2 linked regions of the Sus scrofa genome follow. The main gene of each other region encodes a partner of the protein of the gene in region 2 in a complex. Links are inferred from orthologs where the notes say so. Each region holds a gene or a part of one and is shown on either strand. Other genes may lie near its edges.

Region 1 (3,654 bases), on a different chromosome or scaffold from region 2:
AATGTGGGTTTTATTTTATCCTTTCCCTTTTGTTTTTGAGGACTTGAATGTAATAATAGTCTTTTTGTGTTTGCTTTCTGGAAAGAGCTGTTGAGTTAAGCCTTGGGCTGGATACAACCTGATATCCTCTAGGATTGTCAGTTTAGACTTCAAGAAAATACTCCTGATTGTATTTTTCATTGTAGTATACAGTAGAGAATTGGTTAAATAAGTGTGCACCATGGTACAGCAGAAGACCATACAGATGTTAAAAATTGTATTGAAGAGTATTTGTCAGATAAATGGAAAAAGCAAGTTATAAAATAATATTTGTAGTATTTTCCCATTTTGGTAAAAAAAAATGATGTTCTAAAGATACGCACCTCTAAACAACTTTTCTTTTAGAAGAAGGAAACCAGAAATTGAATTTTCTCTTCTACTTCTTTTGTCCATTATCACTTAGAGGATGCAGAAGAGAGCTGAACGATTCAATGTACCTGTGAGCTTGGAAAGTAAGAAAGCTGCCCGGGCAGCTAGGTGAGTGTCCCCAGCCTTTTGGACCTGAGATAGTGACACTAGGAAGCTAAGGGAGTGGGTTCCTAGGTTTTACATGTAATTGTTGATTTTAAGAGAATAGAGGCCTTGATTAAAAGAAAGGTATGATATAGTTTGGATTTTATCATCAAGCAGAATTTTTAATAATAGGTAAAAGTCAGGAACTCACTGCTACTCTCAACTCTGATAAGACTTCCTTTTAGCTATTCTCTGGATTCTTGGTGAGAAAAAGAGTCAACTGAACCTCTTTCATGGGGTTGTTAGAATTAGCTAATGATTGCAAGGATTGAGATCACAAGCAAGGAGTGCCATATGTACACTTAAAACGGAGACAGACAACCAGGAGTGTGAACAGCTTCCTAAAATTTAGCTTGTTTTTCTTTCTACAGATTTGGGATTTCTTCAGTTCCATCAAAAGGTAAGAATACAGAGACATCTGAGAAAGTTGTTTTTTTTTTTTTTTTTACTTTTTGGGCACAATAGATTCCATTTCTCTAAACTTTTTAGCATTAGAACCCTTTAAAAGGTTATTATATTCACGTCTTTATTTGCTTTAGGTAAAACCATACTCTAAATTGCCTTACTGGGCAATTTAGAGAAAATAACCGAAGTTAGGGGGGAATAAGGAAAGTGCCGGCATTTGTTTTCCTTTTCTTGGACATGTTCAGAGACGCTTCTAGTACCTTATTTATTCTAGCGTATCGATTCAGCATGTAATTATTGTGTACCTGTCCAGTTTATACTGCCTAGTGTAAGTGGCAAAAGAGAAAAGTATCTTTTACTTTCTAGGAATTTACAAGGAAATAATCTTGGCTACGCTTAAAGATTTAGCCACAAGGATTATCATAGTATTATTTATAGTGATCAATAACTGGGAACATTGTAATATACAGTAGAGAATTGGTTAAATAAATGTGCACCATGGTACAGCAGAAGACCATGCAGATGTTAAAAATTGTATTGAAGAATATTTGTCAGATAAGTGGAAAAAGCAAGTTATAAAATAATATTTGTAGTATTTTCCCATTTTGGTAAAAAAAAAAGTGCATGTATGTAAAGGAAAAAAGATTAGATGTATACTAAATCAACAACACTCATTATCTCTGGTAGAATTTTGGAGTGACTTCTTGCTTTACTGTGTTTAAAATTTTTGCAATGAATACGTATTTGTAGAGTAAATTAGGAAAAAAGGGTTTTTTTTTTTTTGTAGGTTATTCTTTTTAAAAAGAACATAGTACTTGTTCACGGGGGCTTTAAATGTAGTCTCCAGATCCAATCCAGTTTTCCTAGTGACTTGTCAGTAGTTTTAAGTCTATTAAAATGTCTTCTAAAGATCTTATGGAGTTTTGCGATACTCCTTTTGAAAGACCAGCAGGAGGGAGTTCCCATGGTGGCACAGTGGTTAACGAATCCAACTGGGAACCCTGAGGTTGCAGGTTCGATCCCTGGCCTTGGTCAGTGGGTTAAGGATCCGGCATTGCCCTGAGCTGTGGTGTAGGTTGCAGATGTGGCTTGGATCCCACATTGCTGTGGCTCTGGCGTAGGCCGGTGGCTACAGCTCTGATTAGACCCCTAGCTTGGGAACCTCCATATGCTGAGGGAGCGTCCCTAGAAAAGACAGGGGGAAAAAAAAAAAAAAAGACCAGCAGAATTCTGGTCACTGTCACTCTGAGAAAATATTTTCTGGGAGTTCCCGACGTGGCCCAGTGGTTAATGAACCCGACTAGCATCCATGAGGATGTGGGTTTGAACCCTGACCTCGCTCAGGGGGTTAAGGATCTGGCATTGCCGTGAGCAGTGGTGTAGGTTGCAGACTCAGCTTGGTTCTGGCGTTGCTGTGCTCTGATTTGAGCTCTGGCCTGGGAACCTCCATATGCCGCAAATACGGCCCTAAAAAGACAACAACAACAAAAAATTTCTGGCACTTAATTATGTCAAGAGAGAGATAATAGGATTGATGATGGTACAATAAAAATTTTAAAGATATTGTTAGATGGTGGTATTTGAAGAAAGACAAAAAATTAATATTTAGCCTAAAAAGGAAAACTGACCAATAAATAATGTATAGATAACATTCACAGTGCTACTCATATAATCTTAGAACTACAGAGTAGCTTTTAAAAGAATAGAATTTGGGGGAGTTCCCTTCTGGCCCATTGGGTTAAAGATCTGTTGTTGTCATTGCTATGGCTCTGGTTACAGCTATGGTGTGGGATCACTGCAGATGTGGCCAAAAAAAAAGAAGAGGATATGGCAACATTAAAAGGAAATATTGTTTTATGAATGAGAACATGAAAATACCTAATAGTCCTTAGCACAGTTGAGTACCATGACCGAATGTTTACAGTGAACAGTTAGGGAACCAATTTTAAGATTGAGATTGCTTAAAATTCTGAAAAGTTTTAAGCAAATAATTATTGACTAGATTAGGATTGGGCCTACAGGCCAATATACTACTTGCTTTCTTAGTGATAATTTCAGGACAGAACATTGACTCTAAGAAGTCATAATTTTTAAAATATGTTTATTTTTGCTTTTTAGGGCCACACCTGCAGCATGTGGAAATTCCCATGCTAGGGTCGAATCGGAGCTGTAGCTGCTGGCCTATACTATAGCCACAGCAGCATGGGATCTAAGCCATGTCTGTGACCTAAACCGCAGCTCATGGCACCGCCAGATCCTTAACCCACATCCTCATGGATACTAGTCAGGTTCATTACCACTGAGCCTCAACAGGAACTGCCATGATTTTTTTTTTTTTTTTTTTTTTTTAATTTTCTTTTTAGGGCCGCACCTATGGCATATGGAAGTTTTCTGGCTAGGCATCAAATCAGACCATAGCAAGCCTAGCTGCGTGTGCAACCTGTGCTGTAGCTTGTGGCAACACTGAATCCTTAATCCCCTGAGTGAGGCCAGGAATCGAAACCTTATGGATATTAGTCGGGTTCTTTTTTTTTTGTTGTTGTTGCTGTTGTTGTTTTGTTGTTGCTATTTCTTGGGCCTCTCCCGCGGCATATGGAGGTTCCCAGGCTAAGGGTTGAATCGGAGCTGTAGCCACTGGCCTACGCCAGAGCCACAGCAACGCGGGATCCGAGCCGTGTCTGCAACCTACACCACAGC
Region 2 (3,270 bases):
CTGAAGCATCTGCCAAACCAAATGGCCTTCCTCTGTCCTTTTGCAGGCGTAAGCCAACCCCAAAGTACCCCTTGGATATGATGCAAAGCCAAGAGGAAAGTTTTTAAGTCCCATTCCAGGGTAGAAAGTGCACATACCAAACCAGCATATTGCTTATGTGGTGCAAATGTACACTGTGATACCCATAATCAAATCAGAGCTACCAGGTGTAACCTGTTAGGTGGCCCTGTAGCTATGTCAAGGTTCCTCATTTACCATACTAAAAACATCAATGTGGCAGAATGCATTTTTGAGCTCCAGATTTTAAAAGCCTCTAAAGGAGGCTATTAAAAATGATGCAAAACTATATCTCATAAACCTACACATTAAGGAGGAACACCGAAGGGCTCTTTCTGGGACTTTTTCATGGGGGCACAGAGATGAACAGAAAAAATGTTAGAATGTCAAAGTATGTGACAGGTGAGGGGGAGGCAGAGGCGAGAAAAGGGTATACTAGCCATAAGGCCAACACATTTGTGTTCAAAGATAAGTCTGGGCAAAGGAAAAAAAAAAAAAAATCAAAAACCAAAACCCACCTCAAACAATACAACAAAACAAAACCCAAGTCAGAGGAAAAAAGTGTTTCATACAACACAGTATCAAAAAGTAAAAGGAACACACTAAATGCACAAACTTGTGGCAAGTCAGTCCACAGCCTATTATGATAGGTCCTTCCAGCATCAATCAGGTTTCTTCCCATCTGTTATCTCAAGGTTATTTACAGATGTGTGACTAGAACAAGAGTCTCACAGGAGGGCGAGCAGGCTTCAATCATTGGTTTCAGGATCTGTCTGTGCCATGTAGGCATCCAACTCAGCATCCAAGTGTCCTTTAGTTTTCGACATGTATGCATCCAATTGGTTGTCCAGCTGCTCCTTGGTCAGTACAGGGCGAGCAAGGGCACCTCTCCCTCGTCCACGTCCACGGCCTCGGCCTCCAAAGCCCCCTCTTCCCCGGCCTATCATACCCCGACCTGGCCCAAGGGAAAAAGAAGAAATAGTTACAAGTAGGTTTAATAGGTGCTATGGTAAATGCCCCTCAGAGCAGTGGGGCCTAGCTGAGAGAGACTGAAGGGCAGGGCAAAGAGGAGAAATCTGGAAAAACAGGAAACACACTGGGTAGAAAGCAACACATGGAAAGCACACATAATGAATCCCTTATTACATGCTCCTCTCTAAATGCTATTTAAAAATTTTTATTCTATCAACAGAGGGAAAATATTTAACTGAAAGTTAAAATTGACTCAATCTCTTCTAAAATAGAAGCTAAAACTTGAGACTCACTGTAAGTTTATAATTAAAATACAAACACACTATAGATAACCCCATGTAGTAAAACAGGGAGGAAGTAACAAGGGCACAGAAAAATGAGTGTAAAGTTTTTAATTAAACTTTATTGGACATCCTTCTGAAAAATTAGCTTGTCTCTCCTCAAACTTATCAAACCTAATGAGCTGATCCCATGTCAGGAGACTGAGGAGTTATTCTGACATGGGAACAATGAAGGGAGATTAGGGAAAAACATTCTGAGTAGTGCCAGCCATTTCTATCTGCAATTCTATCCACATTTTAACAAATATGGTTATCTGAGAGGTGGTTTCAATTCACTTAACAAAACACACCCAGCTTTCTGAAAAGCTACTTTAGAGCCTCCCCCACTCCCATTCCTGTGATGTCTCTCTCAGAAACCAAGTCAAGATAATTTGGAAACATGCTATTTCATCCTGAAACCCAAACTAGTTTGCCCTTCACTCAATAAGCCAAGCAACATATAATGCGAGAGAAGAAAACAAGCCCTCAGTTATCAAATTTCCTTTCCCAGTAGTTATTATCCCCTGGCAGCTTCAAGGTCATCAATTATGGAAGACCCACCACACACTTTAAAAAAGATCAAAGCAAATATACACAGGGGCAACAAGGATGTATTTTTTTTCCTGAACAGGTGTTGTTGGGAGTTTTCCACAAAACTTTAAGCCAGAAAATTCCCAGGAGATTTGGTATTAACAGCAACACCATAAAATCTCTTTTCCAATCTGGGCCATGAAGTCACGTGACAGGTATCACTAAGTCTCACGATGAGATTATCAACAAGAGTCAGTTAGTTAACTGACACAATACCATCTTGCTTTTCTAATCTTGATCAAAAAAAAAAAAAAAAAGTCATCTCTGGTTTCACACAGACACCAACTTTACCTTAAATTTACTTGGTTTCAGAGTCAATACCTAGCACCAAGCCTCACCATCCTCTTTAACTGATTCGTTTCTGTACATCTCTCTCTTCTCTAAATCTTAGGCCCAAAAGTGGGGTTACGAGCTGTGGGATGGGGTGTGTGGTGGTGGGGCCAGGGACAGAAAAAGATGAAACCCCATACTGACAATTTTATCACTTTAATGATACAATTTAAATTTGCAAGAGCCTGAAAGACTGACTATAACCTGGCTCTGTAACACATACCTGACTGTTCTTGGAAAACCCATGACAGACTTTCACACTACCAGCATGTGAATTTAGAAAATAAGCCAGTTTCATAAAACAAACAAGACAAACAAATAAGCCTGCCTATGACTTGAAGCTGTGCAGAAAGGTGGCTCTGAGTTTTGAAGGGAGAGAAAATAAGGGGGTGCTATTCTCTGAAGTTGGTAGCTGACTAACCTCTACCACCGATTCCGCCACGACCCATAGCTCCACGCCCTAGGCCCCCTCTCCCAGGACCTCCACGACCTCGAACACCACCTCTTCTTAAGCCCATTCGGGGAGCTACGGCTCGTCCACCTCGGAGCAGGTTTTGACCTTGGAGAGGAGGCATACAATGTATATGCAGGTAAATCCAAGAGAGACAAAGTAGATTCTAACCAAAGGAAGGCAGTGAGGGTTAAATGAGTTAATTCGATTAATTTTTAGGTTGGGTGGGGCAAGCTGCACACTGAGTGTCAACAGATTAAGCTGCTCTTTATTCAATCAATTCAACAAGTCTGACCACAATCCATTTTTGGAAGCTGGGAGTTAGATCAATTAGTAAGTACATACATTTAATAAATACCTATTGAATAATCAGGTGCCTAGCATTATGGTAGATTTAAAAATAAATGAAATGGTTCCTGCTCTTAATACATTTTTGTAGGAGACAAAAACTATACAGGGAACAGTGTAACAGTGCCCAAAAAAGTAACATATAGCTAAATGCTATGGGTCAACTTGTCCTCTTTTTTCCAATGCAATGGAGTGTTTCAC

The links.
Region 1: CHTOP (region 2) and SARNP share a complex: the UniProt entries of both Homo sapiens proteins name them as parts of the transcription/export (TREX) complex. The link is inferred for Sus scrofa from reciprocal best matches to the Homo sapiens genes CHTOP and SARNP.

Annotation. Positions count from the first base shown.
Region 1 is NC_010447.5:21,241,933-21,245,586, reverse strand, and holds part of SARNP (SAP domain-containing ribonucleoprotein), read left to right. Parts: intron 1-442; coding exon 443-516; intron 517-923; coding exon 924-952; intron 953-3,654. UniProt on the Homo sapiens protein: Binds both single-stranded and double-stranded DNA with higher affinity for the single-stranded form. Specifically binds to scaffold/matrix attachment region DNA. Also binds single-stranded RNA. Enhances RNA unwinding activity of DDX39A.
Region 2 is NC_010446.5:95,996,278-95,999,547, forward strand, and holds the end of CHTOP (chromatin target of PRMT1 protein), read right to left. Parts: intron 2,830-3,270; coding exon 2,692-2,829; intron 1,013-2,691; coding exon 807-1,012; 3' UTR 607-806; downstream 1-606. UniProt on the Homo sapiens protein: Plays an important role in the ligand-dependent activation of estrogen receptor target genes. May play a role in the silencing of fetal globin genes.